Tribolium castaneum: one gene and its partners. The protein of the gene in region 1 interacts with the protein of each later gene in a pairwise test. Links are inferred from orthologs where the notes say so. Each region holds a gene or a part of one and is shown in the gene's direction. Other genes may lie near its edges. The genes, in order: dx, beta-arrestin-1 and N.

Region 1 (4,249 bases):
CACTAATCCACACAATTTTGTTAAAAACTAGCCGAAAATCACGAAATTGGGCGGAAAACAGAGTATACTCACACATCGCGGACGCTGTCCGGAAGGGCACTCTGCTTGATAACCTTAGGATTTGATATTCCATTGAGGAACTGTTGCCCCGCACATAAAATTTTGTTATTAAGTTCAACAACTTGGTTTCGCTTGTGCTCATTTAGGTGAATCCCACACTGTTCAAAATCAAACAAAAACAACTTCCCGACCAGGTTATCAACCTCGGTTGTTGGCACTATATCTGTTGTATTCACAGCAGTCTTTAGAGCCTCATACATTTGAATATTAGTGTTTAATCTAAAAATAAATTTTAAATAACCAATTTTTGCCCATTTTGGGCCCACCTTTCGACTAGTTTACTTATGGCAACTGACGTGTGCTCCGCTGCCGCGATGTACTCAGAAGACGGGTGTGCAAATCGAATAAACTCAGCCAAATCAGCCACTTGGCACAAAGAGTCAGACAATTCGTCAAAAATCTCAACCATTTTGCGCTTTCGGTCGCTCGAAAGGGCCTCACGCACCAAATCGTCGGTTTTTTCAACGCATTTTTGCGTAACGTAGTAAAAACCCTCATGGGTGGTGAGTTGGGGCACCCCAAAGAGGCCCTAAAACCCCCTCAATGTATATCCCCTCACAAAACAATACCGCCGAGTTACTTACAACATTTTTTGTCACTATGTCGAGGTTTAAGCCCGGTTTGGTGTTAAATATTTTTTCTAGAGCTGACCATCGACTAACATTGCAGTTTGAGGTTGTGAGAGTTTTGAGGAGCTTGAATGATAAATTCGTGGCAAACATTTTCAAAGTTGCGTTTGTAACGTGACGTCTGATGTGGTTTTAGCAAGATTTAACGTTCCGTAAAATAGAAAATGATGTTTTTGTGTGAGACATTGTACATAACCTAAAAAATCACATCACAATAAAATTACATAAAATGACACGGCACCTAATTTTAATTAAAATGTAAAAAACTTACGGTTAATTAAAATGGGATTTGGGTGAAAATTATGCAAAAATGGGTTTTTTAAAGTTACAAGAACTTTGGCTTTTTTTGACAGATGATTGTGATTTTGTGTCTACAAGACGTAGCATTATATGCCCCATGTACTTACAAAAAACGGACATTTTCCCTTGTCTGTAACCAAACTAAAATTAACGAAAAAAAGAATAAAATTTCATAACTATGATCAGTTTCATTCCAGTAACAAATGAATTAGATTAGGATTAAATAATCATCTGTCGCAACGTCTCGTATCCTGAATGCCTCATCCCACAAATCCCACAAATCTGATGACGTAACAAATGGTAATGGTTGATGGTTTGTTAACAAGTTGTCACAAGTGCTCATTTTTTGTTTACAAAATAAAATCCCGTCCAATTCGCTTTTTCGTGAATTGAGTTTATGTTGTTATCAGCGTTATCTAATCACAGAAAACAAATGAGTGTAGTTTTGGCGCAGTTTCCTGTGTTTAAAAAACAATTGAAGTTGGGGTCATGATGTTAATTAAATGATTGGTGAGTCTCGGTAGTTTTTAAGCCAAAATTTGGTAAAAATGAATGAAATGCTACTCCATCCAGACGGAAAATTATTTCTCTGACTTTTAATTAATAACTGGAGGAGATTTCGGCATTAAATCATTTTCCACTAGTTGGCTGTGATTACGGACGAGAATGACAGCTTGTTAGTGGGATAAATTATAATTTAATTGTTTTATTGTGTGCGTTTTAATTTAAATTGAGGAAATTAAGAGAGTCATTGTTATTAAAAAGTGTAATTAACAACTCGCATGCGGATTAATAATGCAAATGTACACAACGGTGCATAATTAATGCGAGGCAAAGTGGCACGGATGTGAATTGTTGGTTGCATACGTTACAAATTAAATTTGCTTTTTCAATTCAAAACGCGGTTTTGTGCTTATTAAATCATTCATAATTCACTCAAAGCCAGTTTTAACAGACTTGGAAGCGTCCAAAACAGATGATTTTGCCGATTTTCGGCCAAAATGTCGGGCCACGCTGTGGTCGTATGGGAATATGAGACTAGACCCGGCTATTGGAAGCCCTACAGCCCTGCGGTGACCCAGCATTTAGAGCGAGCAAATGCCAAACAACTGACTCGCGTGCTTTTATCTGACGCCGACCCGACCTTGTTCAACTTTTATGTCAATTTGCGCACTTTGACACAAGTACAAGAGGAGACAGGTATAAAAAAATATAAAAAAAATAGTCAAAAAAAAAATAAAATTGTTAGATGAGGTTGTCAAAGTGCGTCGCAAGTGTTACCCGCCTTCGTCTCCGGCCGGAAAAGGGGCCAAGTGGGAATGTGTCGATCCGGAAAATGGCACCGATTGGCACCCCTTTGATATGGACATTCAGTGCCTTATCGAGGAGGCTTGGGCTAATGTATGGTGTCTTTTATTTTATTTTTTTGTTGGTAACATTTTAAGCCTTCTTCTTAATATCTGAATCCTTGATTATAAACACTTTTTTAAAACACGTTTCCGATAGCAATGTGTTTTCACTATTTTAAAGCACACTTTTCATAGCAACGTGTTTTAAATTAAAATGTTTCAACAAAAAAAAATTGAATAACACTCATACGAAAACGCTTAAAGTTTTCGGGTGTCTTGGTATGCAACTCGCATACGCTCGTTGCATAACGCCAGCCCTAGAACTTTAAGCCTTGCACTTGTATTACAGTTTTTTTCCTTTGGTGGTTATAGGGGGACCAAAACATCGACATGAGTAAAACTCACTTAGGTTTTCCGTATTTGATTAATTTTAGTAACTTGACACAAAGATGGCTGACCAACGGCCATGTTCGAAGTGTCAGACGTGTCAAACAAGCGCCATATCCGTTAGTTAAGGTTAAGTTAGAAGAAATGACGTCTGTGACCGGTCGACGCGAAATTGCAAAAAGTGCCAAAAATGTCACACAACCAGTACAAAAAACAATTGGTAGTAGTGCCGCCTTAAACGTCGTCGAAACGAAACGAAGTGCCAATAAAAAACGATCACACAAGCCAAAGAACGGGAATGAGACCAGTACTACCAACCTAGCTAGAGCAATATTAAATAATTTAAATATATTTAGTAAGTTATTACAGGTTCCTGTAATTTTCTCTTACTAAACGACTCACTTTAGGCAATAAATCGAGTAGTAATAATTTCACCTCGAATTCTGAAAACCGTACTCATAAAGAATCACTTTTGGACGCGGACAGCAGTAGTACAAAATCAGGCCGAAGGCCGAGTCTTGACACTGTTTCGACCTATTTAAGTCAAGAGAGCCGTGAAAGCCAAACTACAGTTTCCACCACTGATTTGCTGCAATGTAGCAGCGAGGACGACAATATCGATCACGACCTACTCTCGATAGTTGGTAACACTGTCACACTTTCCCCTAGCATCGTGTCACATTTAAAAATCCTAGGTTTGGACCCGGCTAGTGCAATAATCTCGAAATACGTGCGGGTGTCCCAACCGTGCGAGTGGGCCCCCAGACAGCCCTGCCCCACGTGCCGGCAGCCCCTGCGCCCCACGTTAGTCGTGGTGGCGTTGCCCTGCAACCACGTGTTGCACCTCGACTGTCTTAACTACTCCCTGACCGAACAACAGGAAAATGGGGCACATTTGCATATTGATTGTGCGATTTGTGGCTGCGTCTACGGGGAGAAGCACGGGAATCAGCCCCCCGGCATCATGGAGTGGGGCTTCGTCGATAAGCGACTCCCCGGCTTCCAGAACTACCGCACGATTCAAATCGTTTATAAGTGAGTATGCGCCACCTGGTGGTCGATTTGGGGAACTAATAAAAACGCGGGGCAATTTGATTTTTTGTTCAGTATTCAGTCGGGGATTCAAGGGCCGGACCACCCCCACCCAGGGAAGGAGTACTACGCTGTGGGGTTCCCCCGCGTGGCCTATCTGCCCGATTGTCCCAAAGGACAGAAAGTTTTACGGTTATTGAATATCGCATGGCAGCGGAAGTTGATTTTTACGATCAGTAGGTCCAACACAACAGGTTGCGAGGATGTGGTCGCGTGGAATATACCGCATAAAACCGAAATTGGGCCGAGTAATAGTGCGCATAGTTACCCCGATTCGGGGTACTTGACGAGGGTTTTGAGGGAGTTGGAGGCGTTGGGTGTTGTGGAGGAGGACGGGAGATGAGGTTTGATTAGTTAGGTTAAGTTGGAAGT
Region 2 (4,206 bases), on another chromosome or scaffold:
AATTCCAAATACAAGCGAAATAGAAGTAGGTGTGTGTGGGACGACAATCGAAATCGCCCGGCCCACCGTATCGATTATTTTTTACGATTTGTAAATACTTACCACCGGTAGCCGGTATAACTTATTTAGGGATGTTCGCGGAACTCGATCAATAAACTTTTAAATCGTAATTAGAGCCCTAGCAAATTTCGTTTTAATTAAAACCGGGCTCGTGGCTGGGGCGGCGAATCTAATTACATCTTAATTTTTGGCGATTTTGCGGAATTTACGGCGCTACCCCCGAGCGTAATTGCGGTTTAATATTACATTTGGGTGATAATGGTCCGTGGGACTCACCTGGTAGGTGTTATCGAAGCTGTCGTACATAAACCTTGTTATTAGCGACGTTTTGCCAACTGGAAAAGAACAATCAATTGGGGCGCTTGATCACTGAATAAAAAGTTATCAGTTTTATCAAAACATAACCTAGAAATGATCTGTCATGTAGGATGACGAGTGGTCAAGTCGGGAAAATCGATATGAAAAATGAAGCCTCGTCCAGCGTTTGCCAATCGATTAATTATAAAACAAATAGGAGGAATGTTGCGAAACATGACTTTTATTGATCTTTTCACGGGTCTGCTTGAAAGTTTACAACTCATCAAGAAACGTCAACACTCACCACTTTGTTCTCCTAAGAAAACTAGTTTAAATTTTCGCAAGGGATTACCAAAGTCTCCTGACGTCGACATTTTTGTTAAAAACTTAACGATTCTTTTAAAAACCCTGCAAATTGCGAATTTCACAGTAAAATATCACAGGAAAACGAACTGTACCGACTAAACCAATGACAGAATACGCCACGGTAGCGACTCGAAGTGACTGCAACACTGCGCATGTTACATTTGGGAGTGACCAAAAAAATTAAAATCATAAATATTTTACATTGGACTAATAATCAGGCCCCAAAAAACTGATCCGATTCGTGAAACTAACCCGCAAAAAAGCCCATTTAATCCACCCGCACTTTGCGCGAAAAAACAAATCGGGACAAAAACGTTCACAATGCCAGTCCGGGCCAAAAATGCTCGTAATTAACAATTCGGTGCCAATTTGTAGCTTAATAACTTTCAAATTCAAAATTGCAAGCTTGGGTTTGAAATTGGTGCGCGTGGCATTGCCACGAAATTCCCCTAAACGGGTGTATTAAGTTGGCTACAAGTTCAAAATCTGGTTTTGTTTCCGCAGTCTTTGGTCAAAATTTTGGTTTTTTGCTTGGAGGCGGCCCTTTCGGGCGCCGGGGCCGGGGCCCCACGTCGTGGCGGCGTCCTGGGTGTGCGTGCCCATGATGGTCGGTTGGCAGGTCTGAATCAGCATGCGCTTCAGTTGCTTTATATCCCTACTCCACTCCCCAGTTTTCACAGTTGGGAAGTTGGACAAGGCCCAAGGTGTTCCAATGGGAAGACCATCGAATTGTTTGGGGTTGTGAAATCGTAAATTTGTGGTTATTCACCGGTTGGTCCCGGTGCCCGAAGTCCACCCTCCCTGGGGCGCCTCCTCGCATAGTGCAGTTCTGTTGGTGTGCATTGGACGTGTAGAGTTAAATTTTAGGCACTTCCAGGAAAATACTGTACACGTAAGTGAAAATCGGTGGTTTTTGGGATCAGTTTTTGGGTTTGAAGGTCGGGAGGGTTATTTTTGTTGTGTGGCTGTGACGAGTTGTGTGAGAGGATTTAATAACCTGCAAAATTTTGGCTGCGGTGGAATTTCGAGATTTGGTTTTGGATTTATGTGCCATTAAATTAATGGGCCGTTCGTAAACAGATCCCTTTTAATTAGGCCAGGACGGTCTAGGAAATTGATTCGGGATTGGAGGGCATTCGTGTGGCTGTTTTTGCGAGCTGGATTGATAAAAATTATCTCACGTATTTCAGAAATCACATCGGTTTTTATGACGCAGAGGGGCCCCTTGTAGTCAATTAAACCTCATAAAGATATTAGATTAACTTGAAGACTACGTTTCGATTGGCTCGGGAGTTGTAAGGGCAAATTTTATTGATACCTATACCTTGCCAGATTATATGTGTGTGTTTAATAGGCAAATAAAGATAATATTGTACAAGATACGGCTCCAGTGCCCACCTTTAAACAACCTCGGCTCTGAATCATAGGAGATGAGGAGTTGAGTTCACTCGGAAAAGTCTCCTGCAATTACTTAGGTGAATCATATTTCCCTTTAAAGTCAGTCCTCTTTGACATCTCGAATAAATATAACAAACGATACTCTGCGAAGTCTCAAACTTCGCTAATCAACACCGGCGTTTTGTTTTAAACTTTCCAAATTAATTTCAGCTATCTTTTCATCAAGTCATGTTTAGCCCGAAATTGATTTATAATATTTATGAGAGTGAAAGAGCGGAGAATTATCTCTGACCGAAGCACATTAAGTAAAAAGGCCCAAAACCCACAACCCGGTTATTTCCCAAAGGCCATTAATTCAATTTTAATCAGTCCGATCTTAAATTTTCATCGAAATCAATCGAAAAGTTCGTCAAAGCGGGCGAACCCTCCGTGTGGCAATTAACATTTTGTTTGCAACTAACCGAACTTGATTCAGAGTGTCGTTTCAGGTCCGTCAAAATGATTTTTTTAAATTTCGGTTAAAATGCGTAGGAGTAATTTTTTCGCGTCGGTCCAGAGCTGGTTTTCGAATTTGTACAATGCTCGGATGGGCCACAATGAAATTGACAAAGAGGTGAGTTGTGTGGTTTTCGGCTTTTTAATCAAAGATCAGGCTAATTGCTCAGAAAATATCGTTTAAGCTTGCACCTGATTGGCCGTATAAACGAAATTCGAGTGAACTGATCACCTCGTTACACCAGCACGTGATGTAATATCGACTCTTTGATTGCTCTTTATATTGGTTCATCAGCAAGTCGGCCTTTATGGAAATAAAGCAGGAGGGAAAAATTACTTTTCTATCACATATCAGACTCCTGCATCAAATCGAATAATCGTCAGCCGGGACCAAACCCGGGAATTCCACTTCAACGAATCACTTTTGACGGTTTCATTGAATCGATACATTATCGCAATTACCTAATATTTATCAAATACACAAGATAGCGAGCGAACTAAGAAGAGTTTCGACGATACTGGGAGTCATTTGGACTTGTTAAACACCATTAAAATTATTGTTAATTACAGTGTAATAGCGATGATAATTCCTAAATAAGTGTGACTGCGCGGAATGTTGTTTCATTAGTTGTTGAAACCGAAAGTTGTATACAATATTTTTTCTAAGATTAAATGAAGTCGTTAAATCGGGCGCAATCGGGCAAATATTTAAAAATAAAATTTTATGGTGTAAATAAATATAAATATTGTTGATTTAGCATTGCGCCTGATGTTTAACCAGCTCCCAGGCCCAGAATTGCGATTCTAAGGTGTTTAAAGAATGTACTGTAATTGTCGCTGAATAAATAATTAGGACAGCGTTTTCGTCATTGTGTTATCGTTTGTGGTGTGGTTTGCAAGACGTCACGTTTTATCTATTTGTTAAGTGTGGTAATACATCCGAGTTTAATTTTTGATTTGTTGATCGGTCGAAAGCAGCGAAACGGCTGTAAACAAGTTTGAAAGGGTGCATTTGAATTGAATAACGATACATGCTCCGAAAGATATTTTGTTGCTATTTTTGTCGGTATTGTCTGGTGTATTGCGTTTTAAGCTCGAAAATCCATTTGATGTGAAGTTTAATTAGTTGCTAGGTGCGTCCATTTGAATAAATTCGAATTTATTTGTATTTCCTTGGCGTTTGAATCAATCATCGGTCAAGTGGCACCGGCGACGAATCGACGCTGATTTTTCCCATTTTAGTTTTATCATACGCTAATTAGATTTTATCGCGTTGGACATATGGTCTATCGCCGGCAAATTTTCATGTCAATGTCATGATTATGGAAATGGCGAGTTTTCAAGTCATTTTCTTCCTTTGTTTATCTGGTTGTTTTTAAACGTCGATTTCCTTGCATACTAATACTTGCGTCAACAGCATGAATATAAAAAATCAGCGGCGGACAACCGTGACTGGAAATTTTCGAATGCGAAAATGCAAGGCACAACTCACTCGGGGCCTAAAAGCTCGCGCTTTTAATTAAATTTCGCGACATTATTATGTTCTTTTGTGTTTAACACGCTCGCACTACCCTACATTTAAATTCGGTT
Region 3 (3,652 bases), on another chromosome or scaffold:
GATCCGGGAACATTTCGTTGCGTTTGTATGCCAGGTGAGTTACACGTAAAACTTTTTGTTGGTAGTTTTTAACGGTGACATGAACTGGAATCGAGACAATTTTGATTTCGTTTCTCGCGGTAATAATTAGATGAACTTTGGAGGCATGTGAACGATGTGTTTCGACCTGCTTTTGCGAGCTACAAACAGTATCGACACGACTTTTTGCCTACGGTGGTACGAGATATGGGCGGGATTGATCAAGCTTGGCTCTTGTTTTAAATTTTTAATGTTACGCCACTGGTGCAAATGTCAATTGTCACTGAAATATCGTTTATAACCATGGTTACGTATAGATTTCTATGGCAACGATGGCAGGGCCGACTCGTCCGGGTCGGGGAAAAAAGGGTTAATTAATTTGTAATAACAAATCAGGTTTAACCGGAAATAAGCACAGTTTTCTTGTTTTGCATAGGATACGAACTCGTAAGTCATGCCTGAAAAAATGTTGTTTCTTTGAGAAAAATGTCTCACTTTGGTGATAATTAAAGCTAGAAGAACCGGTCGATGAAATGACACGACCCATTTGAAACGTTTACATAGTTTTTTCGAAAAAATTTAATTACGTTCAAACGCATGCATTATTCAAGCGATGAAAAAGATCGCACCGTTATTATATGAGAATGAGGCCAATTATCATCATCGTTAATAAATAAAATAAATAAATAAAAATGAATCTCGAGCAAACTGAAAACCACTATGCAAATGAATTCGATGCGCTTCTCTCTCGCGATGAAATAAATTTCGAAACGAAACAACAATTCGTGTGTCATTGAACGCGGATTCTCTTCATCATCTAAGCGGCGTTTTATTCAATTACAGGTCGCGTGATGAGATTTGATTGTAATTATTCGTGGCTATTTTTTTTCTTCATTCTTTTATAAAACGTTTATTGTTGACGGAGATTTGAAACGTGGGAGGAGAAAAATACGAATAGTCGAAGAAGGCTGTGTTGGATGGATATCGTGAAAGCATAAGCGGTTGGGCGTGTTTACAAGAGAAGGCTTGCACAACAACCGTTACCGATACATAAAGGTTTATACTTAATTCATAAGATGGTTGAGCGAGGCGAAGCGAATTTTATTTTCGAATATTCCCGCCACTTTGCAACATGAGCGACTCGTCTCCAGGGTCATTTTTAGTTTTTGAATTATTGCAAAAAAATTTGTAATTTTTGTTTTAATTTTTTCAATCGAAAATTAAAATAACTAGGACATATTTTCCAAGGCGTACTTGATGTCCGAGTTACAATACTCAACTTTGGCCATATTCACTGTTTGTATTTTTTAAAAGTGTTTTTATTCCTGATTCCAACGGTGTATCATATGATATGATTGAATCTTACATGCTGATCAAAATGGCAAATAAGCATTTTTGCGTAGTCTGCTTTGGAAGAAACGTGAACAATTTTGTTTTTAAACAAACTAGATTTTAGAGGTTTAATTGAATTTGGATCTGAAAGCGATTTGATTAGCTAGAATTTTATTCTTCGCAAAATAAAACAAGACAAAGTTAAATCAATTTCATAAATGGGGAAAAATAACTTAAAAAAATTTGCAGGTTTCACCGGCACCCAGTGCGAAATTGACATCGACGAATGCAAAGATCAGCCCTGCCTTAACGGCGGTGTCTGTCATGACCTCATCAATTCGTTTAAATGTAGTTGTGCAATCGGTTTCACCGGTTCCCGTTGTCAAATCAATATCGACGATTGTGTTTCATCGCCTTGTCGAAATGGTGGCACTTGTCATGATTCAATTGCCGGTTACACGTGCGAATGTCCGCCAGGTTTCACCGGTTTGTCATGCGAAACAAACATCAATGATTGTCAATCGTCGCCATGCCAACATGGCGAATGTCTCGATGGTGAAAATTCCTTCAGTTGCACGTGTCATCCCGGTTACACCGGTTACCTGTGTCAATATCAAATCAACGAATGCGAATCGAATCCGTGCCAATATGGCGGCTTGTGTCAGGATTTAGTCAACGGTTATCAATGCCTGTGTAAAGCCGGGACTTCAGGACCGAATTGCGAGATCAACGTCAATGAATGTTACAGTAACCCATGTCGGAATAATGCAAGATGTGTCGATGGAATTAATAGGTAAGTCAACGGTTATAACCGGTTATTTCAAAACCTACATTAGAAACTTTCATGCTTCTATTCTAATATAGTTAGAACTTAAACAATTATATGTCAATTTTTTGTTAAAATTTTTATTTGCTGGAGTTTATTTTATTTAAAATGTCGTTGAATTTTTTACAATAAGTGAATGTTTTTTTTTAATTTGATAACCTAAGGTTTGAGAAAATTGTCAATTGTCACAATTCAAGGCTAATGTGATTTTTTTTAAGTTTTTAATGTAGGCCCTAAAAGAATCGCCGTGTATAACATACACTAACCGATTGATTTTTTTTTTACATGCGTACAGTAGGGAGTAAGTAGTTTTACTAACAATAATTAATGGAGTAAATACAGGAAACTGTAATGCCAATTGTGTTTGTTTTTCAGTTATAACTGCGAATGTATTCCGGGATTCACCGGCAAACATTGCGAGAATGACATAGATGAGTGCGCTTCAAACCCGTGCGCCAATGGGGGCGTTTGCATCGACATGATAAACGGTTTTCGATGCGAATGCCCACGTGGTTACTATGACGCTCGTTGCCTTAGTGACGTTGACGAATGCAATTCAAATCCATGCAAACATGGCGGCAGTTGCGAGGATGGCGTCAATCAATTCATCTGTCATTGTCTACCAGGTTACAGTGGTAAACAATGCGAAATCAACATTGATGAATGCGCGTCAAATCCCTGTCAACACGGTGGCATTTGTCACGATCATCTCGCCTCCTATACTTGCGAATGTTTACCCGGTTATACTGGCATTAATTGTGAAACGAATATCGATGATTGTGCGATTAATCCGTGCAAAAATCGTGGCACGTGTATTGATCAAGTCAATGATTATAAATGTGTGTGTGAATTGCCGTTTACTGGACGTAAGTGCGAAGATAAGTTGGATCCGTGTACACCGAACCGGTGTCGGCATAACGCGAAATGTACGCCAAGTTCGAATTATAAGGATTTTGCGTGTACTTGTAGCGGGGGTTATACGGGGCGGTTTTGCGATCAAGACGTCGATGAATGTGTGGTTTCGAAACCGTGCCGAAACGGCGCCACTTGTAAGAATACCAATGGGTCGTACCATTGCATTTGTGCGCTGGGTTATGAAGGAAAAGACTGCAGTATTAATACGGATGATTGTGCTTCACGTAAGTAAAAAATTACAGTACATCTCCACAAACATACAGGCTGTCCTTAGAAAATTAAACTTTTTTTACGAAAATTATTTTCAAGTTTACAGCGTGTTTCTAAAATTAGCTACAACACAATGGAACAACCTTAATTTTTTTGTTGAATAATTTAAAAGTTTTAAATGAAATTTCCTGAAATTATCTTTTAATTATTAACTTTTTTTTAGATAGACAATTTAATAATGTTTGAGAAGCAAGAACAAAATATTGAGTGTTCCATTTTCAAGTTATTCAACTTTTGACAAAGTTCTTATTTTTTCTGTTTCTAATTGTAATACGCCAAACAATTAGAACA

The links.
Region 2: the proteins of dx (region 1) and beta-arrestin-1 interact in a two-hybrid assay, tested with the Drosophila melanogaster proteins (2 studies listed by BioGRID). The link is inferred for Tribolium castaneum from reciprocal best matches to the Drosophila melanogaster genes dx and krz.
Region 3: the proteins of dx (region 1) and N interact in binary tests that used the Drosophila melanogaster proteins (3 or more experiments, as listed by UniProt). The link is inferred for Tribolium castaneum from reciprocal best matches to the Drosophila melanogaster genes dx and N.

Annotation. Positions count from the first base shown.
Region 1 is NC_087399.1:6,222,371-6,226,619, forward strand, and holds the start of dx (protein deltex), read left to right. Parts: upstream 1-1,349; 5' UTR 1,350-1,559; intron 1,560-1,991; 5' UTR 1,992-2,050; coding exon 2,051-2,249; intron 2,250-2,298; coding exon 2,299-2,450; intron 2,451-2,770; coding exon 2,771-3,140; intron 3,141-3,192; coding exon 3,193-3,429; intron 3,430-3,480; coding exon 3,481-3,820; intron 3,821-3,892; coding exon 3,893-4,220; 3' UTR 4,221-4,249. Other genes in the region: mitochondrial intermediate peptidase, read right to left, coding at 73-339, 387-649, 705-842.
Region 2 is NC_087403.1:1,772,960-1,777,165, reverse strand, and holds the start of beta-arrestin-1, read left to right. Parts: upstream 1-1,368; 5' UTR 1,369-1,615; intron 1,616-1,913; exon of another isoform or gene 1,914-2,198; intron 2,199-2,609; 5' UTR 2,610-2,644; coding exon 2,645-2,734; intron 2,735-4,206. Other genes in the region: ras-related protein Rab6, read right to left, coding at 337-395, 662-731.
Region 3 is NC_087400.1:111,094-114,745, reverse strand, and holds part of N (notch), read left to right. Parts: coding exon 1-34; intron 35-1,599; coding exon 1,600-2,143; intron 2,144-2,551; coding exon 2,552-3,315; intron 3,316-3,652. UniProt on the Drosophila melanogaster protein: Essential signaling protein which has a major role in many developmental processes. Functions as a receptor for membrane-bound ligands Delta and Serrate to regulate cell-fate determination.